Linked DNA regions of Drosophila melanogaster. The protein of the gene in region 1 interacts with the protein of each later gene in a pairwise test. Each region holds a gene or a part of one and is shown in the gene's direction. Other genes may lie near its edges.

Region 1 (8,984 bases):
GAAGAGAGTATACAGTCGTCGCAAAAAGTTCACACACCTTCATCGTGAAGAATTGAGAATGTACGAAGCAGAACAGTGCTTTATTTGCTACATTTCAGGAATAGCTACATGTTAGGGAAAATTTTGAAAAATATATGTCTAACGCCATGGCGTCCATCATTTAAACAAATAGTTGATCAGTCCCTCAAGGAGCCACGGCAGCCAAGTAATACAGCACATCGCAGTCCAAACAATCAGCGCGGGTCGCAGCCCTGTCCCGTTTTGTACGCTATTTTACATGGATTACAGAAAGCTTAGAATGGTCAAAAAAAAAAAAAAAAAAAAATATTTCAATGAGTATGTATAGAATTTTTTGGAACATATTAAATAAATTTTTATGTTTTAAGTGTCCCAATTACCACGGCTACCAAGGTGTAGATCACCTGTGCCAAAAATCTTAACTTTAAAAGGAAATTGTAGAATTGAAGGCGTCTCGCTTGGCGCTCAGTCGGATTCGTGTAATTTCTTGGCCGGCGCATTATCTTCATGGAAACTTCGGCGAAATCTATCAAATACACAATCTGCAAGTTTGGGATAGTGTATTGAGTCCATCACATGCTGCTCCATCCATTTCTCACTCACCTTGTCAAGGATATCGATAGGGAAGTGTGCTTCGCAACTGGATACGAATACCTTTATGTAGGTGCGCATAACGTAGTAGAGCAAACCACAGACCCACTCGACGGAAGGCATGGCGAAATGATGTAAGTTAGTACAAATGAATTTACAAAACTTATAAAAGATCTCGAAAAGATTGTATGAATATTTGTTCCGTACTGACTGAAAGGTACCGAATGAAAAACGAACCAGATTTAGGGCATTAAATCATGGCCAACTAGGAGCGCTGGCTGTGCAAGGAGAGGGATAACCTCTAGGAGCTCCAATCCCAGCTTCAAAATTTGTCAAAGTTTCGAATTTTGAAAATCAGCAGAAAGCAACATAACCTTAAACAGAGCTCCACGTTTTTATTTAATCTAGTTTCTTTTCGTCGTCGAAGTAAACTGACCGCAATAATGTAAAGTAACTTATCGAGGTACTTAGAATCTGAAAGAGATGAGTTTAATTGTGCAATTGATATATATATATATATATATATTTTTTTTTTGTAGACATACGGCCGTAAAACTCTGCAAGGACAACGTTGAGAACTTGAAAGCCGTAATCCTTACAGGCTGTTGACTGCAGAGGATCATAAACCAAATCTGGTTTCGGATTCGCTTGGTTGTTGGCGTGAACGATTGTATCTCAATGCGATCGGATCCTTCCCACTGGCATTCATACAGAATTTGCGCTGTTAAGGTAGACTGTTTATCGGAAATAGTTTATTAATATATTAAAAAAAAAAACAATCTACATTCTTGCCTGTTTTATCAATGCGTCGCCATTCTCGCAAAGAACGTATAATTGTGAAAGGGCCGAGGATATGTAAATTATGAACTTCACATAGTCTCCAATGAACATATTTTTTCCCTTATGAAGTTTAGAAAGAAAAGCTAGTCATTATATTAAAATATTTACTGCCAATGCTTACAGTAACTATTTGAAAGCCAACCATGCAAATAAGTACGGAGGAAATCATTAGATTGGCCAGTAGAATTGGGTTGAAAAAGTCCTCGAGGCGCTTAGCAAAACTATTGGCAAAATCAAAGTAACATGTAATGGAATCATTGTAATAGAGTCGTTGTAATAGAATCATTGTAATAGAATCGTTGTAATAGAATCGTTGTAATAAAATCATTGTAATAAAATCATTGTAATAAAATCGTTGTAATAGAATCATTGAAATGAATCATTGTAATAAAATCGTTGTAATAGAATCATTGTAATAGAATCGTTGTAATAGAATCATTGTAATGAATCATTGTAATAGAATCATTGTAATAAAATCGTTGTAAAAGAATCATTGAAATGAATCATTGTAATAAAATCGTTGTAATAGAATTATTGTAATAAAATCGTTGTAATAGAATTATTGTAATAGAATCATTGTAATAGAATCGTTGTAAAAGAATCATTGTAACAGTATCGTTGTAATAGAATCATTGTAATAGAATCATTGTAATAGTATCGTTGTGATAGAATATTTGTAATATAATCGTTGTAATAGAATCATTGTAATAGAATCATTGTAATAGGATCATTGTAATAGAATCATTGTAATTGAATATTGGCACGATACCAACCTGATAATATTGTTGTGTTTTTCCACAATACGTTTGAGTCGCTCCAGCTGAATGCTCTCGGCCAATTCCGCATTGGAACCCGCAAATAAACCTGCGATTCGTTGGTGTAGCAAATGAAATTGGCCACAAGTGTAGGTTATGAAGAAGCCAAGAATGGTGTCCTCTGCAAACAAGGTGGTGACCACACAGATTCCCGCGTAGGAGGTGAAGATGTAGGTCATCACATATCGGATCCAACTGCTCTGGGCATCGTACGGAAAGATCATCTTGTAGGGAAACGGCTTGTTCTGTGCATCGAAGGCGGGTCCAAAGAAGATCTCCACCAGCGGCAGGACACAATACATTATGATCAGGCACGCTAGCAAGGATGTCATTATGCTGAAGGTAACCATGCGTCTGCGACACTCGGCGGCAACATTGTTTTTGGAAGAACTGGAACCCATCATATATTTATATATGTAAATAAAGATTTTCTTACAAATACAGTTTGAAGATGGGTATAGTTACTCAAAAGTCTATATTATCTCAAAACCACTTTAAGTGTCCAAAAGCATGCTTAGAAAGCAAAGTTTGCTCTTTTGCACACAACAATGTAGCACACTTTTCTGCGCATTTACTCAAGTAAGATTGCAAACCTCTATAGTTTTCAATGCTCTGCAGTTTAATGCGATGATCATTTAACATCGCTTATAATAACCCTAATGAATCGACTCACTTAGGTATCCAAATTTCGTAGGAAAAGTTCTCAATAAGCTGGCGGAATTTCCTCTGATTGAGGCGAAGATGGATGAGTCGGACAAAGTTCAGGACACCCATAAAGGTGGTGCAACAATTTTCCGTGGTGATAATAATGTCCGAAAGGTTGTTCAGCAAAAAGGCCGTCTGATAGCTGATTGTTATGCCCACAGATGCAATGACGTACCACGCCCACACGATGTAGGCGGTGGCCAATAAGGATTGGCTCCTCCATGGCCTCGATGATTCGGTTAATGGCCAAGAACCATTCAGTTTCAGCCAAACGCACTGAATGGGAAAGCTAAGTGCTTTGTAGGGATACGAATAGAACATGACTATCTGATAAATGCCACAGCACTAGGTACATCTTAAGGCATTTCTTTCATTTATAGCTTACCAACTGCGCCCTAAAATTACCACTTTTTTAATCATTTACCCTAATTGCACAGTAAATATTTTAGAAAGCGTTTGCACACAAGGCATATACTTACCACCTCATTAAGTGCCGAATATGAAATTTTGATCAAACGCATTTTCCAAGGAGGTGTGTGCCTGTGAAATCCATTAAACTATACTACTTGTGTGTATTTTAATTTTGCTTTATTTTGAAGAACAAAGTGCGTTTTGCTCTCGAAAAATAAACAGGTAAACAGGTGCACATATTTCAATTTTGTTTTCAATTTAATATATTCAAATTAAAAAGCAAAACTAAAAGTATAAACATGCAACCTGCGCCTGAAATCCGTAACACTTTTAGATATATATATATTTTTTTTTCAATTTCTTATACATATTATTTCATTGTAATTTTCCATGATTTTCCATTTATGTATGTTGGCTAACAATGCGGTCTGTATTTATTTTTAGGCTTTCATTCGCCCAAACTTCATTTCGAAACCAGTTAATTTAAATCAGGTCACTGCTAGCTGGGCGTAAGAAGGATATAGCTTCATTCAATTAGACGACGGGGGCGTGGCCAATCTGTGGCGTGGAACAGTGTGGACCCAGTTCTCTGTCCATTGTTCTGGCCAAGATCTCGACGGCCAGATAGACAGGCAGCCAGACAGAGATACAGAGAGACAGACAGACACGGCTAGATGGAAACGTATGTAGAGGCGTAGGTGTATACTACACTTCCTTTTACAATTACGCACCTTTGCACGAATACAATATACCCTTTTGCTCCACATAACGGACATAAACAGACGTACCCGGATTGTAAGACTCGTTGGGGCCAAGGAGTGGATTTTTTTTTTACCGACTTTCGGCGAGAGAGCCAGCGGCTGAGTGCCGAACACCAACCAACATCCATCCGAGGACCAAAAGGATGTGGCCCACACAGCCCGAGAGAGCCAAGATGCTGAATTGTGACGTGACAATAGAAGCGGAGAGCGAGAGATGTGGCCACTCGGCTGGGCTTGGTTTGAGATATATTGGTATGGGATGGGATGGCCGGGATTGGGAATCTCCCAGTTGAGATTCCGGTGCTCTGCGACTGCGTCGTATTTGGCTGACTGAAGAATGGCTGGTCGACTGGGTTGGCTGCCTGGTTTGCCTCCGGTTGGAGGCAATCGTTTTTCGCCTGGCCAAAATCCTGCAGACGTGTTCGAGAGCTTTAGAACGTTGTTTGCAATTGCGGAAAGCGGTTAGCGAGGCACGAGACACGGCGATAGTTTTTAATAGAAGAAGCAGCAGCAGCAATAAAAAAATAAAATAAATTAATACAAAAAACACAAAAAACATACAAAAACCAAAAAAAAAAAAAAACAAACAAACAAACAAAACGAAATACGAAAGCAGCAGAAAAGAGTGCAGATGCAGGAAATAGCCGTATAGTTCGCAGCCAGCGGAGCAATAGTTTATTGAGGAATAATCCCCGAGTCGGCGCCCAAAAAGATCCAACAAATACCCCAGAAACACAACTGAACAACCAGCCCAGGCAAAAGTATATACATATATATATATATATATATATATATTAACAAAGAAATTCGTTTTCAAATCCCAACACACCGTGAACTTAGAATATATATATATACATACGCGTATATATATATGTATATATATATATATATGGAAAAAAGTAAAAGAAAAGAGGAAAAACGAAATGCCGAACGGGTGGGCAAAATGTGAAAACCCAACAAATAACTACTCAGAATCAAATGTTTGATATAGTAACGTAACGAAACGCAACGCAACGCAGCTCTAAAATCGGCTACTAAATCAGCACATTCAAATCAAATATGGAAAATACAAAAATAGAATAAATATATATATATGTCTATATATGTGCACATATATGCGTGTATATGTATATGCTGATGGCGTAAGGATGAAAAGATCATAAAATACATATTTTATGAAAATTTTTTGCATATTTTTTTTACTGTTTGGCCAAAATAACAAACTGAGTGTGTTCATAAAGCAGTACAATGTAAACTTAAAAGCAAACTTAAACGCAAAACGGATAACAAATAATTCATAACTACTCTCCAACTACTGTTTCAATGGATTCTGGTTTTGATTTTTTTCGAATTTCCCGAATTTCCATTGGTGAGTACCGCAATTACGTTTATGTATTTTATATCTATCAAAAATCGCTACACATCCCATGCATATATATATATATATATAGTATATTTCGGTATATGTACATGGCCTCAAGGATTCCAAACTCTGGCAGATGGAACTGAAATAGTTTGGCTAGCTGGATAGTTGGATTGCTTTATGGCCGTAATTATACGGGGGAGGGGAAAATGTATACTTGGTCCAAAACACACACCACATGCCCAACATACTTACTATTATTGCGAATATGGTCCAACTCCCGACTCTCGAGCGGAAATGAGGCGCGGCTGACTGCGCATGACCAATGAATAATAGCGATACAGAAATGCTTTTATCCCACACTTTGTATTCCAATGCATATCTGGATATCCTCTCTCCATCTCGACGTCTCACCGTCTCTCCATCTCGTCATCCCTTCTCTGTCCATGCCGCTCCATTGGCATGCGAAGGAATTTGGAATTTTTTTTTTTTTTTTTTTTTTGGCAAAAGGACTCTGGCAATTCGAAGTGTGTCAGGACATCATCGCCTTTTTCAGCGTCGCTTGCAATGGTGCGCTCCTCCACCAACGCCAACTGAAGACACATTTGTTCACAATTATTTGGGGGTCTGGGCATGCGTTGCCATTGACCCATCTAACCACCCGCAGTTGTGCACGGCAATTCAAATCTCAACGTGCCCCAGTGCTTTCGATTGTTTTTAAACAATTAAATCCACCGCATAATCCCATGCCAGCCAAACGAAACACGTAACCGGATTTGAGATGATGGCAAAGTGATTCCAGGATGATTCCCCCTGCTGAGTCCTTGAGTTTGTGAGTTCTCGTTTAATGGTTGGTTAACTCGTGAGAAATCTGCGCTGGCAGTAAAGTAAACAAGCAGCGGGCAATTTGTTTATCAATCAAAGAAATGGTGTCGGAATTCCGCATTCGCGAGTGTGACAACGCCCAAATGTTTGCTGATCCATAAAGGAGAAGAGCTCCGCGATTAGATCGCCCTACCTACCACCACGCATCCTTCGAAGCTCGAACTTCCCTATCGTTTGGTAGCACATTGACTCCAGATGGACTTATTGGGGGCACAAATCAAAACGCGGCAAAACAATGGGGCAAAGACACAGATTAGGTCAAATAACAATGCTGCTATACACACGAAGAAAAAGGAATGAACTTGTGAGGGAAACTAAAGATGAATGGTTTGAATACAATACAGTTTTCTTTGCATACATTTAACGGACTGAAAAAAATCTTTTAAAACTGGTTATGCTAGGGAAAACATTATTTTTTCATATCCTGTTAACAAACATTTGGTATTTGATTAGTTTCCGGAATCCTTGAATTTTTCTTCGAGTGGCAAACTTATGGCTCTGCACCAGATTAGAAGCCATGACCTACGATTTGATATAATCAATCAAGGCTTGACTTGTTGCCTGTTCAATAAATAGTCAGGATATTCAGAATTCACAACAGTTGAAATCATTTACAAAACGCGGCTTTGTATGAGTAAATCTTTTCTGCGTGTGTAAAACTACAAAATGCTGCCCAATGCTAGTGAGTCAGATACTGCCAAAAAAACTTGTCGGTATCATGGAGTGAGCCAACTTTTTGAGAAACATAATAATGAAAGTTTTGTCAAAACGAATAAATTGGGAAACACTATACGATGGAGCTTCAGCTTTCCGTGCTGTTGTTACTCCATTTGATCGGGAATAGTTTTAATCAAGTTTTAATTGGCAAAGTTGCACAATGAGTGCAATCATTAGTCAGCAGACAAAAAATTGTGTGGCTGGCAAGAGGAATAACTCATTTTATTGGCCCACAGATCCACATCCGCACACATGTCTGCAGTTCCCATCTTTGGAATGCCGTCTAGTCGGAGGCTGCGCATTCGGTCTTTGGAGAGCCAGCCAGCCAGCCAGTCAGCCAGCCAGCCGACGACCACGACTCTCGCGTCCTTAATTTTCATCCCTTTATTTATTTATTTTCCTGTCAGCTGCCGCTGTCTGGTGTGTCTGCCCAAGGTTTCTGTTTCGCATTCTGTTTCTGAATTTGAATCTGAATCTGAGACTGAATCTGAGACTGAATCTGAGACTGATTCTGAGTCCGTTTCGGCCGTGGACGCCCACGACAGCGAGGGAAATATGTGGCCATCCGGAGAATAGATTAACAGGATACACCAGTAGTTAGGGACCTCAGCTCATCTACTCATCTTCATCTTCATCGCCCCTTCATCATCATCATGGGGGCTCATCTCATCTTGGGGCTTTAAATTATGCGACTTGAGTTGTGTTTGTTGGTAAGATGTTGTCATATGTATGCGACCAGCCACTTGGCCTGGAGAAGTACTCATCAAGGTGCCCAAAAGTATGCCACAATGTATTTAAAATGTGCATTCTCAACTCTTCAAGTTCCTTATGCTTGGGAATTGCTTGGGTGGTGTGTTTCTGAAAAATGGTCCATATATTTGTAATATATCATCAGAGTTATTAAAGCACACGAAGAACTGTCTAAAAGTATGCTACAATTGTGCGCAATTATTATACTATACTATGTCTGTTGGTTTAAACTTAACTTATGAAGGTTTCTAAAACTTCTAAAAGTATAAATAGTTAAGTTAAAATATTTATATGTAAAGCATACCATTTTTTCTGCTACAAATATAAATTACCATGTTTATACAATACTTGCATATATTATTTATGCCATATTAGCTTAGCACTTTTGACCGGTTTTTAAACGAATGACATAAAATCATTTGCACTAATAATGTCATTGGCTGGTGAATAAACTTTGTTTGGATACAGCTTTCTATTGGTCGAAGTTGCTTGTTTATTACATTTTTAAAAGTATATAATTGGATTTAGCTGAAATTTCTTAGATAATTCAAACACTCTCGCTTGCCATACGCAAATTGTGATATGCATTCATCTTTTTAATGCAATTAAATGTTATGACAAAACTTTGAAAATAAGTTACTTCTCAGTTGTTGTTTTATAAATTGAAACCATTCTCGTTGTTATCCTTTTCGTTAGTCCTTTTACTCCTTGTAATTTTCCATGTGGGCCACTGTCGCCTCCTTTTGCGGCAATAAATTTACTCACTGCCTTTTCGCCGAAATGACCCAAATTTCAGGATGCCCTCCATATAAGGGAAAATTCAATAAATTATTGCTAAGCCTTTGGAAATTGTGCAGAACCTGTTGATTCTGCAGCCGCCGCAACTAAGCGCTTAATTAAATTTTAGTCGGAATTTTCACGTATATGTATACGCATTTGATATTTTGGAAACAGGCAAAGTCAAAAAAAAAAAAAAAAACTTATCATATATAATATTATTGCCAATAAGATACTATTTATATTACGTTTTATTGAAGTCGAGCACAATTTCAATATCCCTGGATTGCATAAGCTTATGTTTGAAACAAGTAATTTGAAACTGATTGCTTGCTGGGGCAAAAGAGAAAT
Region 2 (7,327 bases), on another chromosome or scaffold:
ATCCTCCTCCTTCTGTTCACAACAATCGGCAGCGTACCGAAAAAATCCCTCAAATACTTCACGAATCGAAAATTGCGAGAGAGAAGGATCAAATTGTTCGGCACCAAGAAGACAGAGATTCAATCACTCTTGATAAGTACGTGGAACTATACGGATGCCAATTTGCAGGCATGGAGTGTGTTGCAACAAGGACCTCGAAGGACTCGTCAGGCGGTGATTCAGGGATGCATGGCCTGCCAGAATCAGCGATGTGGACGCCTGCTGACCGGAAGATCCTCTCCAGATACGGAGGGAGCACTCACCCTGGAGGCTGCCATTATGGATGGGGAAAGCTTGGAGTACGGTGCAGTGGCCGGGATGAATGGAGTTCGGAATGCCATTCTAGTAGCCGATGCAGTTCTGAAATACACAAAACATTCCGTACTGGTCGGGAAAAGTGCAACGAAATTTGCCAGATCTTTGGGTTACAAAGAGGAGTACCTCACGGATGCGAGAACGAGAAATGTCTTGAAAAAGTGGAGGTCAAACGGCTGTCAGCCGAATTTCTGGCGAGATGTACATCCTTCGCCGGCGGAAAACTGTGGGCCATATTCACCCCTACCCGAGCACATGCATCAGCATCCGATGCACCAGGAATATGCCATCATACAGGGTCAACACGATCAGCTGGCCTTCTTGGCCCTGGATGCGGAGGGTAAATTCCATGTGGCCAGCCAATCGAGTGGCGCCCAATTCCGGATTCCCGGTCGAGTGGGTGATTCGGCGGTGCCTGGTGCTGGGATTTATGCGGATAATGAAGTGGGCGGTGCGGTGGCCAGTGGCGATGGTGATGTCCTGATGCGCCACCTGCCCGCCTTCCTGGCCGTCGAAGCAATGCGAGCGGGAAAGGAACCAGACAAGGCAGCCGAGTTGGTGGTGCAACGCCTGCTGAGGCACAATACGGAATTCAATGGAGCCGTGGTGGTGGTCAATCGACGTGGCATCTATGCCGCCGCCTGTGCAGGACTCGACGAGTTCCATTTTGTGGTCAGTGGGGGCAAGGAATACCTCAGCATGGCGCGGGTGGAGCGGGTCAAGTGCTTGGAGCGGGAGAATGAAGTCATAGATGGTGGCCCCAAAGGACTGTTTCCCACCATTCCCGAAAAACATAAGGTTCCATGAGGGTAGACCTACTTAGTAATTTCTATACTTACAGTACAACCTTTACCGCAATATCCTTAAACAGTTCTACTTACTAAGCAGTTGCTTAAAAGGACATTAGCTATAAGATATGATTTGCCCACAAATTGTAATATTTTTCTTTTCCATTTACTTTTCGGATGACTCTCTTACTTCTGAAAATATTGACCTATTCTCATTTTCTTCTTTCTATCTTTCGGGTTTTCCTATTACCATGGCTAAAAACTTTTTACTCGACCCGGTAAGCCCTCAATTTTTCCTTAACGCTTTCAGTTTTCTCGTTTTGCTACATTTTTATTTTCCCTCACGCATTTTTATCCCCAATTCATCTGCTTTGCATATTTCTTTGTTATGTTTGTATTATTTTCGTTTCATTTTCCATTTCGGGGCTTTCCCGCCCTCTCTGTTCTTTGGATTATGTAACGTAATCCCCTCGTGTTGGTTGTAAGGGAAAATCTGTTATAAGTGTATGCAAATAAGTACAGCTGTGCTTTAATTTGCCTGGCCAACAAAGTTTGACCTCAGCATTAAAGTTGTATGGAAAAACTCGACTATTTAAGGCATCAGTATTATTAAGTTTAATTGCTAGATTTAACTTCATTATAACTACTAGAATTATTAGGCCATAAACAAAAATTGAGCTGAGGAAGTCAAAGTCAAATGATACCATTCAATTAAAGGCAGAAATGTCGGTCGTATCTCTTTTGCCAACTAAGATTATAAGCTTGTGTGTCATAAAAATTTACTGTCATAACTCACACCGATCCGAACCGATAAGTTCTAGATAACCGTAGGTCGCATAAATAAGAAATTGACCGGCGATGGGCCATTTGAAGACTTTTTTAAGAATTCATAAAAGTTTTCGATAAGAAGCAAGCAAAATAATACAAACACAAATCAGAATTAATGCTAATAAATAATTGCTAATTAAAAGAATAGAATCCCCCGCGTGAGTCAATGCAATAAAATTTAAACACTTTATTTTACATTTCACTTATTTGTCCGACATAAGGCAGATAAGATTTTTGAATGGCCGAGCAAACAAATCGTATATGAGGTGATATACTACTACTACTAATCTATAGGAAAACATCTTGAAATTGCTTAGCACAACAAGTACTGCATTGTAATATCTTTATCAGTCTGCTGACTGATTAATGTGAATTTTCTCAAGTGCCGCAAAACAATTGTGAATTTTTCGATTTTTTCAAATTAGCTGCAGCTTAGTTTTAGTTCGTTTTGGTCGTTCAACGGTGTTGGAAGCTCTTCAAAAATGTTGCAATCGGGCAAATTTGTTATACTACTGGCTTTATTCCTGGCTTCACGGGAAATCTCAGGAGAAATTTCTAGGGAGGTGCGCAATTCAGCTGAATCGCCAAAATGTTACAGCTGTGAAGGCATAAATTGTTCGAGAACCACTCGTCAAAACGCCACCGTTAGCTGTTCTGATAGACTGGACGTTTGCGTCACCATTTATGAGGATTGTAAGTCTAAGCTTCGAAGGATATTGCATTTTTAAATGCAACAAAATTTCCGTTTTAGTTGCTGTTAGTGAGCGCGGTTGCTTTTCTCAAATCTCTTTGGCTGGTCAAGCGAAATGTGCGGCCAAGGACGATCAATGTCAAAAGTGCAGTGGACAGCTGTGCAATAATGTAGGACGCAGGGATTTCAAATGCATTCAATGCATTGGTTCTGATGTAAGTAAGCCAATTTGACAAAGTTGCAAACGTAATACATATATTTCTTATATTTTCTGGCCAGTCAGCTGATTGCAACAAGGGTGCCACCGCCTCCTTGGCCGCCACCCAATGTGCCCTCCCCACCTCCGCCAATTCCTACTGTTATGTCAAGGTAGTCGGCGATCAGAAGGACAGCCTCCAGAGAGGATGTGCTCTTTCTGTTAAGGAGCAGAAGGCCTGCTTGGAGGACTCGAAATGCTCGCTCTGCCTGCCGGAAAACTCCAGCGACTCCGTGGCCTGCAACAACTACGATTTGGAATTGGGACCCAAGTCCTCAGCTGAGCAAAGTAAAAAACTCTTGAGCTACGGGTTGGCTTTCTTTGCCCTGCTCTCGCTTAAATTGCTGAATTAAATTTTAAATAAATATATGTAAATAAAGCGAATAATCACTTGCTTACTGAATGTTTTGTTTTTCTATCTTATCGGCTTTTTGGATTGTTCAATTTTTTTCCGTCAATTAACTAGCAGGTGGTCCCTGAATTACTACCACAGTTCAATCACAACGGAATTCTTTGACAGACAGTTTTTTTTTAGAGGTCACTTCAAAAAGGCCGCATAATACAATGGCTGCTAAATTTATACATCCACTAAAAAGTTAATTTGATATTTCTGAGATAACTCCATACCATTCGGGAGTTGTATATATGTGACTGCTGTCAGTTCTTTATAGAAACCGTTCAAGTGCTTGGCCATTTCCACGCACAAACACACATACTGACAGCAACCGCTCTCGAGGACACTTCAGTGGGGCATTTGAAGTGGTCGGCGGTATAAAAGCCGATCGCAATGGCCAATTGCCTGACAGTCGAAGCAAAAAAATGAAGGCCCAAACAATGGCGAAGATTTTGAGTGCTGTGGTGCTGGTGGTTATGGTGGGTCATGTGGCCGCTAACACGGCAATCAGTTGCCACACTTGTGAAGGAGCTAATTGCCAAAGGGTTCAACTGAGTAAAACGCAGACATGTGTGGATTCCCTGGACTATTGTGTGACCATCTACGATGAAGGTGTGTTCAAAGAGAGGAAATAATTTCTTGTATCAAATAAAAAAACAACACTGTTTTTATATATTTCAGCCAAGGTTTTGTTCAAGGGTTGCTCCCTCGAGATTCCGAAGGACTTGCGTTCCAAATGCAATGACAATCGCTCTTGCCACAAGTGCAACACGAAAGAATGCAACAATGTGGGATCTGCGAAGTACGCGTGCATTCAGTGCGATTCCAGCAAGGTAAGCAAAAAGTTTTAAAATAGAAAACCAATTTTAATTCTAACATTTCAATTCCCCACAAGGATTCCAATTGCGCTTCTAATGCCGCCGCTTTGGAAGCAGCCCGTTGCAGTGCCCCCACGGCTCCAAACTCGTATTGCTATGTGAAATCCTCGGGAGGATCCATTGTGCGTGGATGCTCCACCACCGAAACCGATCAGCAGAGCTGTCTGAACGATGCCAACTGCCTGTTGTGCTCACCTGGCGACATAAGGAACTGCAATGCTGCCAACATCGTCGAGAGCTCAAATTTAGGGAACCGCTTCATTCGATTCCTGAGATAATATTTATAATGAAATATTTGTATATGGGTCAAGAAATAAATAAAATGCGATTATAAATTATATACAACTAAAAATTGAACTAAAAGTGATTTTATTTTGTTCTCAAAAGCGAAATGGATAGATAGAATAGATATATTGTCGGAAATTCTGCATTTCATATTAAATAGTATAATAAATCGTAACAAATTAATGTATGCAGTTATATTTGCCAAACAAAAGAGTATAAAACTAGGGCGATTATATTTAATGAACAAAAATAATTGGCATACATTTGTTTTCAAATAAATCTGTTAGAAAGAAAGTCTTAAATAAGTTGGCTTGTTAAATTGGTATGATAACTTTTGTATACATATATTAAGATGACAAGTCTATGATGAATCACAAAACCTTAATTGATAGCACTGATGTTAATCTATGACAACAACCTTGAAAAGGTTCACTTCAAATTATCTGAAAGAAATTTGATCTAATTCGTTGTCTAATCTAGGAAAATAACCGATTAATGGCAAAAAAAATTCCATTACCAGTGTAAGCTTGTTTGTTTACTTATGACCAAGGAACTATGTACTTTAAAACTACCCCACAAGAATTCCCGTACTTGAAGGAGCCACATAAAAACAACTGAATTGCTTACGCAATTTTTGAAGTGATGGACAACAACTTAACGAGCTTAATTACTTCAGTCAACTATCTAGGAAAAAATATCAGTAACATCATCTTGAGAGACCAGAATTTATATAAAGGGATGACCAACAAATGGGAGCCTTTCAATGCTAAATATTCCTTCCGCAATGTCAAACTTCAATTGTTCTAAACTCTTGGTCGCACTTGTGTTGACCAGCAGCTACGTTTTGGCATCAGAAAAGTGCATTTATTGTCGGGATATAAACTGCCAAAGGAGCAGCTATGATGCGGATGAACAATGCTCAGAGAAGTTGGATGCCTGCGTTAGTGTTTTTAAGGCAGGCGTAATTCAGGCCCAAGGATGTCTGGAAAGTCTCGAAGATGATTGGCGAGAAAAATGCGAGGATAAAGATAAAGGAAATGAAATCGATTGCGAGATATGTGTAACCGAAAGATGCAACAACGTCGCAGCCAAAAGGACTAGCTGTATTCAGTGCAACAATACAGAGGTAACTAATAGTTAGTAACTATAAAATGGAGAAAAAGTCTTAATTTTTTTTTCTATACTCTTCTTCTTCAGGACGCACAGTGTGCTGAATCTCCCGGGCTACTAACGGCTGTACAATGTCCTATTGCTAGATCTGGCAGAAGTTTTTGCTATGCCAGTTTGGTTGGAGACGATTTGAAAAGGGGGTGCTCCCTGACTCTTTCAGATCAAGTCAAATGCCTGGCTGATCCAAATTGCCACTTGTGCGATCCTTTGGAACAACCACACTGCAATGATCAAATTGTAAGGGCAGATGATTCACCAACCACCACTCAGGAACCGACGGAATCTACAAGTTCTTCAACGGAGTCCACGCCTAGTTCAACAATGACAACTGAATCATCATCAAGTTCACCAGAAAGTTCAACAACAAGTTCAACAACAAATTCACCAGAAACTACACAATCCACCACAGAACCTTCGACAACCGAAGAGGTTCCAACCACAACCGATAAACCCAATTCGGCATTCGGTTTGCACGCTTCCGTATTGCTGATCTTTGCCCAATTGGCTTTGTGCTTTTATAAGCCACTTTAATGGGCAAAGTGACGGCGCTTAACCATAATTCCCACGGACTTCTCTACTCTATGTGCGACATTATTAAAGTAATTTTTATGACGTGACCATAAATTATTTTTTGCGATCAAACACAATCTTTTTGGGTTTTATGTCTTAAGACTTTTATGACATATTATGTCATTGATTAAATGTTGATAAGCCCCGATTATGTGGCGAAATACCACTAAGCCACAAGTCAGCCTACTTACACAAACGTTTCACAGATTCGAATTGGGTTATCTTTAAATAGGATCTACTATAAATCTAAAGTAACTTATTTATTTTCTATTTTTACCTGGCTGAGATTATGTTTTGGTGTTGAAATATAAAAAGCTTACGAGATAACTAACAAATTGGGTTATTCCGATAGCCAAATCTATCATCAATTAATAAATTTAATTAACTCATGACTCATAAGTTACGAGTCTGTTTCTCATTCTTTTTTTACGTGTGAATCATTTTGAACATTTATTTGTGTGTAACTTCTCACTTTAAGGTGACTTCGTGACATTATAAAATGGAATGCCTAAAGTCCAATAGGGAGCAATAATAATAAGCAATAACGTTATTAGATTAAATTCTTAGAAATAGCCTTTACCTATATCTGGGGTTTCCCAAAACTATTTGATTTACAACGGTGAAATAAGCGACATGATTTGACAATAACTATCGAATAATCGAACTGACCATCGACTTTTGAAGCTTTAAGCAGATAGTTATTTAGGTGCTTTGAACTGATACGAATCTTCGCAAAACTAGCAGTATATGAAAGAATATTTAAGGAAGGCTAACGATGGCCCCCATTTGGCGGCTTTAAATGGCAGAAGTCCTCTAATCAGTCAACATATATTTCGGCTGTCCGTTGAACAACCTTATCGAATGGTGTAAAAGTGTTCACGACTCCATTTCGCCTGATTATGGCCGGCTTATCTGGGATAGTTTTTGTTGCTTTTTATGTTAATTCCCCTCAATCGGTTATAAATAACGAAGCTTTATCGGCCATATAGCTATGGCAACAGTACCTACAATATAATCGCATTGGTCCCCTAATATAGAGCAATAATCAAACAGCCACGATAGGACCCATCGATCGATCGATTGCTCGAGCTTGTCGCAATTGGAAAATCTATA
Region 3 (7,241 bases), on another chromosome or scaffold:
TGTTGGGAAAGTAGGCCTGCTGCTTGAAGATCAGGTGCAGCACAACCCTTAGATTGTGAGAGCATCCATCGTCGATGTGCACGAACATTTGATCGTTCAGATTGTGCTCCCTGATGAATTTAAAGATGTTCCGGTGAAAGGTTTGCGTTGATAGCTCCTTGTTTTGCTTAATCATGTGCTCAATGTCCAGTAGGGAGACTTCAAAGTAATCGTGCTTATTTTCTCTTAGCCAAAAGCCATATTCCGTCAATAGCTTAAAGTTGGGCAAAGCACCGTAGCTGATGAACAATTGATCATATGGTTTGGTCTCGGAAAATGGCAGAGATTTCAATGTAAGAACGTAATCGGGACCCTCAATCCCTGCTGTGATTTCCACTTGATCTGAGTGGTTAAAAAGATCCAGAAACGGAGCCAATGCCAGGTTGGTGTCGCCACTGATAAGCGGCTGAAAGTAGTTGCTCTGCTTTTTCAGAAAGCGGGAACTGAGGTGGACGCTCCTAGTGTTCACGCTGAAGTAGGCCCACTTAAAGTCTGCGAGTGTCCAAATCTCCTGGCCGTAGCTCTTCCCACAGCAATCGCATTTGTGTACAATGTTCTTAATAATTTCAAAGTAACCTCTTATCTGACGGTTCTGGGCCACGGTCCGCTCTAGCAGGGATTCTGGCAGACACTGTAGCTCGGGTATGGAGCAGAAATACGGAGTGGAGTAGCACCTGGGCAGGGTGTCCAAATATGCAGCGTAAGTAGAGGAGTGAGTCCCTAGCGTACACTCCTGCAAGTGCTTGTGGTACAAAATATAACAGGCTATCAGTGCCTGAAAGGAAATTCTGGAGTCCTTGTCAAATAACTCTTCGTCGAAAAGACTTTTGAATGGCCCATCAGATTCCAGAGTCGCTATGCTTATGAGACAGCCAATGGGCAGGCGAATGAGCTCATCCTCCGGAGAAAAGGTCTTCTGTTTAGAGCATAGTCCTCGACCTGTCTGTTCGTAGTATTGGGCCGACAAGTGAGTGTGGTTCTGCCAGCCAACGGAGTGTAGATGAACGTAGAGGTCGTGCAGGGAGCCCGAATTCTCGTCAGACTTCTTGGCCCTCTGATGCCGGCGACGCTGCGTGCGACCCATTGTCCCCAATACCCGATCGATCCTCCAAGTCTGTGTGCGTGCGCGCTGTTTTGGTCTAACTCTATGCTTGCTGCAACGAAATAAGCCATAGCGTGGAGCATTAATTCAAGATTGATCGGATGGAAGTGGAGAAGGACCAAAACAACGCACACGCAGACTGTTTTCCCCGCCGATCGCCGGCTGTCCCCACTCAATCAAACCGCCAATTTATTGCGTATTTACGCGTAATTACGAAACCGTAATCTAGTCTAGATAGTCTGGCAGGTGGCCTTGAAATGGGTCTAGAGGCCGAGCACTCACCACTCTTGCCTGCACGTGTGTTCCCGGTCCCTTAGCGAGTGTGTAGCATTTCGCGCGTCCCAAGTGGGCGGGTAGGTGGATGCTGCACTGCTTGGTCAGGTGAAGGAGTCCGGCCATTACTCAATTGCCAGGCGAAAACAAAATAAAATCCCTCTTCTTTCGCACCGTCCCTGTGTTTTTGCTACGATATCAGCATTCGCATGGCAGCGTCAGCTGTTTGGAGTTGCCGTATCGCTGTGAATGGCAAGCCAAGTAGCAGTCGCCTGAACTAGTTCCATTTAAAATTTAAAAAAAAATCTTTTTTTAGGATTTTGGAATATGCATCAACTGTCAGAACATATGCAAGCAACAAATTCCAATATACTTCAATATATTTTTTTGTTAGAAACGTAGTGGGCTGTACACCATTAGGAAAGAAAGCATCGATAAGGTAGTTCCTTTTTGCTCATCTCCATAACATCTCCTCCCCCAACAAAGCGGGCATATCGAATTCTGGAATAGTCCACCGCTCGAAAATGTCGCTATTCGGTCTGATAGTCTCCGGACGCCTGCCCCAATCGGATTTTGTGGCCGTGGACGCCACCAAGTTGCTCGTGAATGTGCCCGACATAGAATCCGTCAACTACCTGGTAGTATTCCTCACCGGCGTATCACCCCTGCCCGTCGGCACCTCCGCTGCGATATATTTCAGCTGGCCGGACGCGAACGCAGCACCCACATGGCAGTATCTGGGTCACATAAACAACACCAAGCCCTCCGCCATCTTCAAAATCGCCCAGCTGAAGAAGAGTCACGAGCTGGAGGCCCAGGCTCACGGGATGGTCTTCGGCAGCCAGGAGATCTCACACATCGCACAGATTGGAGTTTCCCTCGAACCGGAGCTAACGGTGGCCCAACAGACGCCAGCCGTGGTAAGTTCTGAAGATCAGTAGTTGCCAACCGATTTGATTGGCGCAATAATTGCGATTCAAATCTAACCCCATTTCCAATTTTCAGTCCACTGCCAACGACAACAAGCAATTTGGTCAGCGAATGCTGGAGAACTTCTTCAACTACGCCTCCAGCTTCGGAGTGGCAGCCAGAGACATCCCGCCCATCTCGAGCGAGACCTTTGTGCCCTTCTCCGTCGTTCAAAATTGGTATACGAATTTCCAGCGTCGCATGGAACAGAATCCAAACTTTTGGAAGTACTGAGCAAAAGACAATGGAGGCGTCGCCTCCACAAGTTGTTGATATTACAAGTAAAGTTTTATATTTATATTCTTTCTGTAACTATTACCTATCTTTATTGGTGGACTTACAAAGGAGGATTCAAACTAGGGCTGTGGTTTTGTTGGGTCCAGTTCCGACTCCCCGGGAGTGCTTTGGGTTTCATTTCTACTGCCGTAATCTTTAGCAGGTCTGCGCTTTATGAATTCTGTATTGGAGGGCGCAGTCCGGAATGGTCCACGAGAAGTTGGCGTCGGAGCTGGAGCCGACCCTGATTTCTTTTTGCTTAAGGATTCTTGTCTTGTAGAAGGAGATATGCCGTCGTGAGAGGGTGAAGGTGACTTTCTAGACGGACTGCGGGAGGCCGATGCCCTGGGAACTACACTCGGTGCTGGAGCAGAGCCCGATCTCTTCCAAGCTGACGGTGATGCGCCATCATATGCAGAAGCATCTGGTTCCCTATTTCGAGCAGCTGAATCTTCATCAACCAGATTAGGAGCTGGAGCCGAGCCGGACCGCTGCTTTCCACCCCTTGGAGGTCTACTTGGCAGACTGATCAGTGGCTTACGGGGTGCTGGACCTGTAGGAGCTATAGACGCAGATGGAGACGAATCGGATCTCTTTTTTCCTCCAGATTCGCCCTTACCTGGTGGCGGCGACGAACCGCCCTTTGGTGGAGCGGCTGGTGGCTTAGTACTGGGTTTCGATTGCGCATCCGCCTTGGCCTTTGCCTGCTGCTTCTTGATCCGATCCTCGATTCGCTTCTTGTTCTCCGGCGTCAGCTCTCCGAAGATGCTTGTGATCAGGGCCTTGTACTCGTTGTAGTGCTGCACCTTGTTGCCCGTCGCTGGCGAGGCGCTGGGCGGTCGTCCGTGATAGGACACGCAGCGCCTGCGAGGAAGAAACAGAATGGGATTAGAATTGCTGAATGGACACCCAGTATTACCCCACGTCACCCAAATAGCGCCGTGCTCTGTGGTCTATTTAAACAATAGCATTGTCGGTGGGCGACGCGAGCTGATTTTTATTCGGTCTCTTTGCCTGTCGTTCTTTTTTTTTTTGTGGCCCGCAAAAAACCAATTTGGCAAGCTGACATATATATTTCGGCTATATAGCAGACCCTATCCGATGTGCATATACAAGAGCGCTCCTCGGTCTGCCCAGCATCCGAAACACGCGCGACCTCCCCTGACCAAACTTTGATTTCTATTGTTTTACAAGATCTATCAACATTGATATGCCCTGTAGTTAATTCATCCATGTGGTCCATGAGTCTACATAGGAATCATGTCCAGTTATTTCAGTTGGCTTAGATAAGTCGAGCAGATTAGTATTATCTACATTTTGCTGAGTGGAGGGAATTTTTTAATAAACGAATAGCACATATTTTAACACTGAGAAGATAATAAAATTATGTTTACGTTAGCTGAGAGAACATTATTATAAATTATAAATACTAAACACTTTCTTGAACAACAAATAGCTGGCTTGTTTTTATCTTATAGCACCAAGTGATTTGAACAGTTTTATTTTGGTGAATTGAAAACAACCACTATAAGTACCCATCTGCAGGGCATTGTTAATTCGATCCTTATGCTCACCTGACGCCGCACAACTCATGTGCAATTACATAGATTGCAGACTGATCAATGATCGGATGGTTGCCAGCGAGGCGCAGCCACTGGGAACGAATTGAGATAGACGGATCACGGTGCATCCGCCGACGGATTGCGCCAGTTTAGCTTGCAACGTGTTGAGTGATACATAGTCGATTGTGATCGGAGGAATAAGCCCGCTTTGGTCGCGTGTTGGCCACGACAATAGGTCAGCAGGATGATGACAAAGACACAGCAGGCGGATTGGCCGGCAGAATCGGGGGAAGCAGAGGAGCAGACATTGATGTCGCAGGCAGCAGCTAATAATAATATTCATAATTCGCAGTGGCTTGTTGATGGCATCGCAAATCAGGGAGCTGAGTCAGCCGTGTTTTGTTGGTCAAAGGCGGCGGCGCCGGAAGTGCTCGGAATGGCAGGGCAATTTCCGGTTGGCCAAGGAATCGCTTGGCAGAGCAGCTTTCCCATGAATCACGCGGGTGGAAGCAGGAACATGCAGGTCTGCCAGACATATTACCAAACAATGCAAACAGGAAAGTTTCCCTTGCATCTGAAATCAAGGAGCAACCAAGGATTTCCCTTGTTTTTCTTCAAGCACCAGAAAGAAGCAGAGAACCACACAATTTTAGATGAAACTCAACTATTCAGCCCACATCATGTATACGCACCGTGCACAGCAAGATTCCCCATACATCAAGTATACGCCCCGTGGCAGATGAACTTTCCCAGACTGCTGCAATTGCCCCGCAAGAATTCCGACGGCCATTTCCCAGAAATGAGCACCACCATGACCCGACGCGGACAGGTGGCCAGCTCACACGCTGAGCAGGCGTCCCAGGAATTTCCCATAATTAAAAAACGATTTGTTAGCTTTCCCAATTATCGAGCAATGTCTGAAGATGAGCCCGAATACCCACATCCACATCCACCCACCGCCGCCACAACAACAATGACGCAGCCGGGCCTCGACAAAGTCACCGAAATAGACAAAATAGACGAAATAGATGTAGGCGGAGGAGGAGCTGGTGTACATAAGGTGCCGCCGATGTTTGATAATGAACCCGAGGCCGAGGAGCAGACGGCGGCGGCAGAAGCACTCTCATTCGCATTAAACTTGAACGTGGCAAGGGAAATCGAGCATCAACAGGCGGAAAATCTTAATGACGCCTTCGGCCAGCGGCGACACGACCACAAAAACGACGACGCCATGGATGGGGCCAAAAATAAACGCGAAATATGCGAGCAAAGCAAATTAGAGAAGGCCGAAGATCATAATGAGCCAAATATGAGAGATCGCGAGCAGCAGTCAATATGTTTGGCCAGGGAGCAGACAATAGATGCGAATGGGCAACAGCATCAGCAGCAGCAGCAGCACCAAAATCAGAATCTGAATCGGAATACCAACCACCAGCAGTACGGCGATCTCTCAGACGCCCGCGAATCGTCGCCAGAGCAAGTGGACGTGGATCTCGGTCGGCTACTGACCCGCGAGCGAAACCCAAATCCGAATCCGAATCCAAATCCGAACGCGAATCGAAGTCGGCCAAATATAGAATTACTGAAAAGCTCCGTGCGCGCCTTCCTCACCGAGAGGAACTGGGATTGGGACTGGGAGCTGCTCGACCTTTTGACCGACGCCATCGAAGTGATCTGTGCCCATCCGGAGACGGGTAACCTTTGGAGCGAGGTGGCCGCCGGAGCGGACATGACCGTGAGCAAAGTCAGCGAGGAGCGGGAGACAGATACGGTGGTCGAGGTTTACCCCGCCGAGCAACTACTGGATCAGCCGACGGAACAGGCGGATGACAACAACAATACTAGCGCCACAGAGCAGCAGCCCAGCGAGATGAAATACGAGCTGAAGACACCCAGTCCATCACTGCCCAGCAGGAGTCCGCGTCCGGAGTCGCCAGTCACTAGATTGGGTGCCACGAGTCGTAGTATACGCAATGTGGAGCCTAGTGCTCCCGCTACGCATGCTCCGTTGCTGGGCGATATAAAGCGCACATCCATCAGCCGCGACAGCACCTCCTCCATCGATGTGGATTCTGTGCTACCCGAAAGGACACGTCTGCGGCGCCAGCGACGCGTCCGCTCGCAGGACTCCGTGGAGGAGAAGCCCGAGGATGTGATCGAGCGGCTGAACAAGCTCAAGGCAAGAATCTCCGGTGCACTCAGCGAGGTGAAGGGAGTGCTCAAGCAGTACAGCACGGAGAGCGAGGCGGAATCTGCGGCGGAGCAGACCCAGTCGACACCAGTTGGAGATCAAGCTGCTCCAGTGTCCTTTCGATTTGTGAAGAAAGTCCGGCGACGCAGCTACTTCGATGAGGCCGAGGAGGAAAAGGAGCAAGCTGGAGAGGAACTGGTAAATGCCTCCAAGGATACTAAGGTGCAAAGAGAACAGACACCATTTGCTAGGGAGCTCTTGGAAGATTCAGCAGAACGGGATGCTCAAACAAATGGAAAGCAGAAACTTAATGCAAGCAAAGAAACAAAAACTAGTGAAAAGGATTTTAAAGAGGTAATCGAAGTCAGTAAAAAAGAAGAAAAGAATGATAATCAAGAATCGAAAGAGTTGGAAAACCAAGATGGAAAGCTGCCAAAGGACCAAGATTATTTGGATGTCAAGCCGCCAATGGAAAGTAAGGAATATTCTGAGCCACTGGCGGTGAAGCTTGGAGAGGATGTTTCAAAATCGCCTTCTAATGAATCTAGTGATACTAAAATCTCAGAGGTAAAAGGTGAAGAACCAAAAATGAATGGAGAACTTCCGAAGACAGGCGAACAAGTCAAGCAACCCGAGAAAAGCAAAACCCAGGCCAAAATAGAGTTCCTGGCCAAGGTGCAGAGTGAACTCAAGTCAAAATCCGTCAAAGATGTTACTCCCAAGGAGCAAACTACCAAGGAAGAAACCCATAAGGGGTTCTCTCCCAAAAGAGAAGCGACTCCCAAGGAATCGGAACCCAAAGGAACTACAGAAGTTGACAAAAGTAATG
Region 4 (9,017 bases), 1.0 Mb from region 1:
GGGCCCGCCACCGATGCGCATCCGGATGCGGATGCCGCCGGCGATTCCGCCGGCAGCAATCTGTCCACCCTGCTGACCGCCACGACGACGAGCGCCTCGCTGTCGGCGCTCGACGAACTGGACAACCGGCTGCAGGCCCTGGACCTGATCACCTCCTCCACGGCCACCACCCTCAGCAAGGTCGCCGGCAAGCTGTGCAACTACAGCAGCAAGCGCCGACTCCACCAGTCGGAGGCCGTGCTCGCCCAGAAGTCGCGCATCCTCCAGCACTAGGGGATTCACCCAAGGGGTGTCCTCCTTCGTGTGTCAAGCGTGTGTTTCCCGGGCGGGCAGATCTCTCCTCATTTCACTTTCGACACCAGTTTGCGGAAGGTCTTTACATCTTGATGATGTTTACAAGTCAAATACATAATGTTGATCATTTTAAATTAATTCAATTTTAATTTTAACACAAAACATTTGAAAGCTGTGACAGTAAAAATAGGCTTTACACAATGTCTTTATTAATTTTCTGTAAAACCAACCGTTGTCTTTTTCAACTTTACATTCACAATCCGTTACTTAACATTAACATTTTTAAGCATTTGTTTTTACATTTCCTACTTGAAGTTGGCTGCGATAAGCACAGTTAATCATTGTTTAGCGCTTACAAACACTTATACGTTATATGTACATTCGCATGCTTACTTATGTTACATATTTACATACTTACTTACATTTATATGCTTTTCCTACTACGAAGCAAACTTTAAGTGCATCAGGTGTATTTTAATTATTTATTATTATTTTGTAAGCCTGCAATTTCTCTATCACTTGTTTAACGAATTCTACAAAATCGATATAAATATATATAGTATTAAATATATATATTTAGATTTATTAATTGTTAACTTATACCGAAGTCTAAAGTCTTTAATTCAAGCCCGCTGATTGCTGACGAAAGTGAAAATGAGGATAACGTATCCAATTGCAGGTCTTCTCAAAGTTAAACCTAATTAATTTAATTTTGATAAATTTTCACGTGTAAACTTAGGTTCCGCAAATTTGTAACGAATGTGAAAACGAGGAAAGGTCATTTAGTGTGAAAGTGTGGATTCTCCAAAGGCATTAATGGGTACAATTTATTGGCAAAGTAGGCTAGATTTTGATTTGGGAGAAAATGTTTTGGCACTTTTGAAATTTATTGTAATCCAAATGGCATTGATTTCATTTTAAAATGTTTATTATTAGGGAAATGATTTGTCATTTTTATAATACGAGCTAGGATCAAAATATTTTGTATAGATATAAATTATTAACATTATTATTATGCTTATAATATTATTTAGTTTAGGTGGAACATTTAATGAAATAGTTTTTTTTTTAAAAGCTCGAACTTGTAGATCGTGTTTTTTCCCTAGAATAAACTCGAAAAACTTAATTCAGACACGAGCCATTAAATGTGGAGAACTAGTCACCAAAGTCGGGCAACTCGACTATATATGTTTCTGTATATTTCGGTTTATATGATTTCGCCGGCGAGAATCGAGTGTGAATGCGAATCGAGAAAACAGAGTAATTAGAAACAAAACCAAAGCAAGGTGATTCATTTATGCGACTGATTATTAACATATGTGTATTAAATAATTAACCAAACTGACGGAGCGAGAGGGGTGACGATGGTGTAACATGCCGGCGAGATGTCGATGTCCTTGACGTAAGGATACAAATGTAGGGGATTTACATTTACCTAATTGCTAATGGCGCATGGCGAATGCAGCGCGATATGTGTGTGTCATGGTGCATGTAATTCGTTTAGACCTCATTGTTGTTTCTTTACGTGTTCGTTTCGATGTGTATAAACATATAGTTATAATTGACTGAACGTTATTTTTTTTGTATATATTAACGATTAAATTTTAAATGAGATGTGAAAGCGAAATTGAGCGCGCTAATCGAATTCGAAACTTATTGAAACAATTGCACAAATCAGTCCAAATGAAAGATGGTGGAAATATCTTTTAAATAGCCAACAAGTGTTTGTGAGTAGTCATGAAAAATTTGGAGAGGAGAATTGAAAGCTTAATGCCCCATTGAATGTTTGTGATAGTCGAGAGTAGGCGACTATAAAATACCCTGTACTCCATTGATACTCATCCCGATCCCGATCGTGATCGCGAATGCGATTCTTCTCTCCCGACTTTCGGTGTGCAAAAGCTTTAATCTTCATATTCATTCGACGTTCAATGCTGTGGATACAGGGTATTTCCAGCTGTCTAGCATCCAAAACAGATCTAATTTTTAATCTAAATATATATATGGAGAGTGGATGGAGCGTAGATTGTGCCACACTAAAGACAAGTCCCAGGCTTGCAAAGCCCCCTATGTATATCGATCGCATTGGATCAGGACACATATGTTTTATACATATGTATATATGTACATATGTGGGGGGAATTGGTGTGCTTTAGCGAGAACTAAACCAAGAAAAAAAAACAAGTGGCGAAACAATTTTTTTTAGATTTTTTTACCATTAACATTAAACGGAAGGAGGAAGTTGCGAATTCCATATTTGAAATGGAATTTACTTGTCAAAAGCCTAGGTGTTAAATGTTGCGTCAATAAGCGAAATCGAAATTGAAATTGAAATTTTATTGTAGTGGGACCGACGAGAGGCCCCCGACTTCCGGAATCCAACTAAAACTAAGAAATCCAAATAAAACAATATAGTCAAGCTTTAAATGTTGTACACGATGGGGGGTCGCAGCCACTTGAAACCCAAGTTAACTAAACCAAATGAAGAGAATGCCCAAAAACAGACCCGAGAATAAATATGAATGTTAAACTTAACTAAACGATAAATGCATATTTATAAATGTTTAAAACAACAATTCTATAATAAACTAAAGGAAAACTATATATGTAATTGTGCTAAGGCAGAATTTAATGTATTCCAAGCTACCAAAGCGACAAAAAGCCATTAACTACGTGGAACCAAATAATGTAAACGCAAAGCTAACAACAAATACAAACTGCAACATACAACTCATTTCCCTAAAGTACAAAGGAAACGATGGAAAACCCACATATTCCGGCATGCTCCGGTAATCAAATTCGTACAAATTTAACTATTTTGAAAAATCTGTGCTCCGGTTTTCGAAATCGTAAGAAAGTTTTCGATTTGTAAAACGGACACTTTTGTCTATCCGAAATGAAAAGTAAATGCCTTTTTTTTTTAGCAAATCAGATCTTATTTTCAAAAGGGCAAATAATAGTTTACTCAGTGGTCTATTGATGTTTATTTCACATCACCACAAGATCATTTTGCCACTTAGTTATTTTATAAAAATTTTATTTCTGACCACACCTCAACATTGGTCAAACAGAATTTTGCCTTCGGCAACAAAAAGTTTCGATTTGGCAAGGAGTTATAGGTACATCGACAAGTGTTTTTGGGAAGAATTCCATATTGTTGGTGAAACGAAACAGGCAGATACAATATCAAAGAATTCAATAACTTATCTAGAGGATGGCCAAAAGTGTTGTTTGTAAATAATGCTATTTACAAAACCGGAGCACCTAATAACGAAATCGAAAGATTTTTCCCAAATCGAAATCGAAACAAAATTACGACTACCGGAGCATGCCTGATTATTTAGTTGAGCACAGAAACCACACCATCTAACACAAAAAAGACCAAAACTGGACAGTATTGAACGAAGTGATTTGGTTTCAAAACAACATCTCAGCATAAAGTATTCAAAGCCGAAATCGAACCGAATCCAAATAGATATAGCGAAAAAACGAACAAAACTATGTATTTCCAACAAACAGACACAAGTATACCAACAAAGCGATCCAAAGCAACTAAAAAACCAAAAAAGCGAAACAATAAAGACATTTTTGTGTGTATGTAAGATTAAATAGAAAAATCTGGTTTTGATATTTTGTTGTTTTTTGCATTCGGGGCTTTTAAATTAATCTGGGTCTTTAATTGATTGTATCCCTTTTAGATATATTTGGTTTTTTTCACTACAACATTTACCTAAAATGTACTATTGCTTATTGCAATTAGTGTCTAAACGTAAATACAGCGTGTACATTAGGCAAACAATTTGAAATCATCTTTAGTTTTATTTTGACAAATGGAAAACAATTTCAATTACCATATACATAACTGAATGGCGGAAAATGGATTTCTTATCGATAGCGATTGATGAGCAACTTCGTAGTGTGCACTCACTATTACCGCTCGCATGCTATCGATGTTAGCACGACCAGATATCGACGTACCGTATTGCCCGATAGACGCAGACATAAAACGCCTGCTTATATCGATGACAGTCTTGTTTTTTTGCGTTTAGGTTACGAAATTGGCAGACGAATCTTCGTTGTGCCAGTTGAAATAAGTAGATTTAACTAACAACACAGGTCTAAATTGCTCGTGAATACACCACGAGCCAAACAAAAAAAGAAATAGGTACGTGCAAAAGTTTGGGAAAATAAGAAAACGAAAGCGAAACGCAGTAGAGTGAATTTAAGTTGGTGTGCGTGTTCGTGTGTGTGATTGTCAGAAAGTGAAAAATAAAGAAAAAGAGAAGCTATTTTTTTAAGGTGCTAAGCGCACGTAAAGGCAACCAAAAGGAAAATTGTAGATAATAAACGATTATTATAAAAATATAATAAAACCAAAAATAGTGCCCGTGGCCGTGCATGTGTGTGCGTGTGTTTGAAGTTACTGTTTCTCGCGTTTTGCCATGCGCTCCGTCTCTCTTTTTTTTTTGCTTTTGCTTGCTGTCAAAAATGAAATAAAAAAAATCACAACTGGCTGATACAAAGGAAAAAGTGCAAAGCAACAGCTGCACACTAAGTGTTTCCTCGCCATTCGTACACAAATTTTTCCTCGATTGAATTGTCAGCTTTTGTAAATTTCGACACTGTTGTAAAAATATAATTTCTTTATTAACAAGTAAGTGTCTGTGCTCCAAAACAAGAATCGAAAATTCTTCTACGACATGAGAGCGAGAGCGCAATCGAACATTTTTGTTGTCCCGCATCCTAACCTAATCCCGTTTTTTTTGCTTTTCGCAAAAAACACATGTGACAACCAATGCAACAACAACATCAGCAACAACAACTACTGTCGCAGGAATAGCAAGGACACACGGACGATAGAGAAAGGAAGAAAGATAGAGAGCGAGACGTCCCCATCGCACACACGAACATACACAGCCCCGCTGCAATTATTTTGTTTTTCTCATCCTCACCAGGAAAGAGAAAAAGAGAGGAGACAGTGCGAGTGCAAGCGAGAGCAACGATGGATCGCTACGACATGGAGGACGTCGTTGTGGCGCCCCCTGCCGAGTGCAGTTCGCCGCTCAAGGAGTGGCGCCTCAAGCGCCAGGCGGGCACACTAGACCGCTCCGATATCATCGAGTTCTTAAAGCGCGAGTCTCCCAAGTATTTTGATTACCAGACTAGCGCTACAGTTAAAGGTGAGTCGAGATGCACAGTCATCGCATAGTCATAGTCACAATCCTTGATCGTAGGAATCTGCGGGAAGGGCTAAAAGATCTAATAACTAGTTTTATTGCGCTCGGGAAACAGCTAGTTTCTGGTATGACCCCATACATCAGAACTCAAAATTACGCAGGCAGACCCTGTATAGAGATATTAATGATACATATATAGGCATTGATCAATCCAATAGAAAAGAGTGCAATCGGATTGTTTTCAATTCCAAGAAAGGTTAATTTCAAAAAAAAAGTTTTCAAATAGGATACACCACTTTTTCGATTAAAAATAATGGTAAACAAATAATGGTAACTACCACAATGCCAAATCGATGGGGCGTCAAAAGTTGGCCGAATCCCATTAAAAACTCTCGCTCTTGAATTATCATTATTCGCCGTGTGTTTTAGTACTATTTTTGTTCTGCTTTCGTCTTTTGTTTATTGCCATTGAGCAATTGCACGCTTTTGTTGACTTTGTTGCTGTTCTCACGTTTCGTCTATTTCACATTTCCGCGAATTTGTTTTTCCTCGGCGCCGTGCCTTGCTGCGCCAAGTTTTCCTTTCAATTGGCCAGCCAAGTTTCAAGTTTGCCAGCTCGAAAATCGCCACCTTCTCGGTTTTCTACCTGTCTCGCCTTTTATGCACTCTCATCGTACACTGTGAGAAATCTTCTGATTGAATTAACACAAAAATTAATTCAGGCTCTTTTTCAAATGGGCAATCGAATGTTTCAATTCCTATCAGAGAAGATAGAAGATCTCTAAATACTAGCATAAGCAAATATTTTCATATTCAAGTTCAAAATGAATGACATTTTTTGTGGCAATTTTAAATTACCTGCACTCATTTTGGCCCAGTGTTTGCAAGTTGATCCAACAATGGCTCAAGCCCGGCCTGGCAACAAATGAATTAAGTAAACAAACTCGTTTTGCACCTAATTCCACCAGAAGTGAACATTATCCGAAGCTGGAGGGGCAAATGTGCGACTATTGAAACAAACAAATTGGGAGAATCTAGATTCCTAGGAAAGCACTTGAAGCCTCTCAAATTTGTCGACGACTTTCTGTTAATAAAATATTGATTTAATAGGAAATTGAGAAATAAAACGAGAGGAGTTGCAATTTTCCACGCGAGAAACTATTTGTTTGTATGCCAAGGATGGAAATATACAATACAAAAATATATTGATATTATGACCAATTTGTAAAACAAATAGTAGGTAATGGAAATCATTTCCAGTGTAGCTCCTTCAAGAACCCTCCTCATTTCCCGGCTTCATTGAGTAATCCGTTCTTGTCATAGCGAATATTTTTGCCAATTACTCAAACAATGTTTGCTTTCCGCTTTTGCTAATCGGGTTTTTACCCCATCTCATGGCTCTTATCGTTCCTTATCAGCTGCTAAGCATATGGAGGGCATGGGTACCAATGTTGTTATGTTTCCATGGGCATATACCATACCATACCATACCCCCTGTACATACATATATCCGTTCCGCTGATATTTGCCTGCTGTCTAATTGTACGTAGACTACTATACTCGAATCCCGATGCACAATGACGAATGCCACAGATACAGATGAGGTGGACAGCCGGATTTCGCAGAGAACGGAGACGAATCGCATCGCCAGACTTCGCTGCTTGCCGGACTGATAAGCCAGAGAGTTAAATATTAAATATACAGAAATATGTATTTGGAGGCAGTTTATTCAACCTGCGTTTATCTGGTCCAGGTGCACATCCGCGGAGGTCTTCTCGACCGCCTGACGTGTCCAGTTTTTGTCGATTTTCAGCGTTTATACATATCTCTGGCTGGTTCGCCTTATAGAGGCTATTCTGGTCTCAAAGTGCGAAGACATTTGCCTCGTGTCGTGTGTCTCAATAGAAATGATTCAAACTTGGGAAACTCATGTATTATTACACAAAATTTTTGTACAAATCGCTTGCACATTCTGCGAATTTAGTCTTTCTTTCTTATCTTTGTTGGATATCCACCTCATTCTAGGCGCACACAGATGTCTTGTTTCTTTTTCCGCTTTCGCTCTCGTTTCATTGTGCAAAAGGAGCAAACAGCTGACACATTTTTGGGCATAAATATATATAATATTTTACAAAAGGTGTGGGTGTGGTTGTCCGTATTTATCAAGATTTATATGCCCTCGATCGCCCACCACCTACCCTTGCAGAAATCAGAAATGCTCTTTGTAACGATCGTGTTGCCGCATTTGAGCCTTTAAATTTTGTTTCCTCTTTTCATCGAGAAATTTTCAGTACAACAGTGGGTGCCATAATTAATTTCCATGCTAAGGGCGAATGACCAAGATTTATTGGTTCGAAAAATATGCACAATTCATTGGAAGCTGTAATTACGTATGATGTTTGCAGTCAAGTTTAATATCGTTTAAATTATGCATATATTTTCGATTCAGTCACCTTTTGATGACGTCTTGTTGAGAGTTTAATTGAGTACTTTTGCTAAAAACTTTAGGAAACATTGTATTTACTTTTGTAATTATTGTTTAAAAAGTGATCTTTATATCATATTGTTACACACATTTGATCTCTTTTTGTGATCGTGCCTGTAGAATTGAGTGTACCGCTCCTGAATAATCCACTGTGATTCAGGAACCGATGAGGTGGCCTCTTCTCTGGCGTTCTTCCTCCTGGCATAGTATAGAGGCATTTCTGTATAGTGCATTTCAGTTCAGTTCAGTTCGATTCGATTTCGATTTCTTTCTTTTATTTTCCGCTCCAGGCGCCTTCTTTGTTCCAGTCTATTACGCCTCAGTAAACTGACGCACACGCAGTTTTAAATGCATTTTTATATAGGCAGCCATGTTACCTGGAGATATAGCAAAATGCAGCGTGAAGATTATTTAAAGGAACTTTAAAGTGTACAGGAGGTACTCTGCTAGTTACTTTCAATTTGTCTTTATTGTATGTGCATTGCAGGCAGTAGATATGTATGTACATATGCATACAAATATTTCATTTTTCACTGATAGCCCTACGTTAGATGCGTTGATAATAGATTATATTGTAAGCTTATCGCTCTCTTTTTAGTATTGTATTTTTTTTTTCGATTCTGCGCTGCAGAGTTTTCACATCGTTTGTGGCGACCTTGAACTGCATTTGTTGTAAATTGCTGGCTTTTGTATTTGTATTTGCATTTGAATTTGAATTTGATTTTGATTTTATTTGGTTTCTCTGGTTGCGAAAACTCGTTTAGCCCGAAGGTTTCTCTTGTCTGCGACTGTGGTTCTCTTTTGCGGTCGCCCAGGCCCAATAATATAGCCGCGATCATGATCATTATCACGTTCATTATCCACATGCGGTGTGGTCCGACCTGTTCTAATCATTTTAACGATACTCCATCGCTATTGCATTACTCACGGCATTGAAAAGCAATAAAGCCAGAAGATGACAGTTTGCTAACCCATGAGTCAGCATGTTTATTTATAACCAGTAATTCTAATGTCTTCGAGCCGTCTTTAATCGCATTTAACTAAAAGATTGTGGGCCAACT

The links.
Region 2: the proteins of mmd (region 1) and CG4363 interact in a two-hybrid assay, tested with the Drosophila melanogaster proteins (one large-scale study listed by BioGRID).
Region 3: the proteins of mmd (region 1) and CG13926 interact in a two-hybrid assay, tested with the Drosophila melanogaster proteins (one large-scale study listed by BioGRID).
Region 4: the proteins of mmd (region 1) and Ubr1 interact in a two-hybrid assay, tested with the Drosophila melanogaster proteins (one large-scale study listed by BioGRID).

What each region holds. Positions count from the first base shown.
Region 1 is NC_004354.4:15,968,731-15,977,714, reverse strand, and holds the start of mmd (mind-meld), read left to right. Parts: upstream 1-4,647; 5' UTR 4,648-5,510; intron 5,511-8,984. Other genes in the region: CG42766 (uncharacterized protein), read right to left, coding at 269-292, 399-560, 622-732; Or13a (odorant receptor 13a), read right to left, coding at 1,009-1,083, 1,155-1,343, 1,402-1,509, 1,571-1,670, 2,223-2,654, 2,938-3,290.
Region 2 is NT_033778.4:21,831,439-21,838,765, reverse strand, and holds CG4363 (uncharacterized protein), read left to right. Parts: upstream 1-3,718; 5' UTR 3,719-3,736; coding exon 3,737-3,923; intron 3,924-3,992; coding exon 3,993-4,144; intron 4,145-4,206; coding exon 4,207-4,467; 3' UTR 4,468-4,536; downstream 4,537-7,327. Other genes in the region: CG4372 (uncharacterized protein), read left to right, coding at 1-1,161; CG4377 (uncharacterized protein), read left to right, coding at 2,453-2,663, 2,722-2,876, 2,941-3,270; CG34040 (uncharacterized protein), read left to right, coding at 5,259-5,600, 5,672-6,175.
Region 3 is NT_037436.4:1,612,800-1,620,040, reverse strand, and holds CG13926 (uncharacterized protein), read left to right. Parts: upstream 1-1,882; 5' UTR 1,883-1,938; coding exon 1,939-2,334; exon of another isoform or gene 2,335-2,419; coding exon 2,420-2,617; 3' UTR 2,618-2,693; downstream 2,694-7,241. Other genes in the region: CG33230 (uncharacterized protein), read right to left, coding at 1-1,123; ABCB7 (ATP binding cassette subfamily B member 7), read right to left, coding at 1,424-1,540; CG12105 (uncharacterized protein), read left to right, coding at 4,466-7,241; CG33791 (uncharacterized protein), read right to left, coding at 2,740-3,523.
Region 4 is NC_004354.4:16,963,952-16,972,968, reverse strand, and holds the start of Ubr1 (Ubr1 ubiquitin ligase), read left to right. Parts: upstream 1-4,289; 5' UTR 4,290-4,459; intron 4,460-5,107; 5' UTR 5,108-5,296; coding exon 5,297-5,474; intron 5,475-9,017. UniProt on the Drosophila melanogaster protein: E3 ubiquitin-protein ligase which is a component of the N-end rule pathway. Recognizes and binds to proteins bearing specific N-terminal residues that are destabilizing according to the N-end rule, leading to their ubiquitination and subsequent degradation.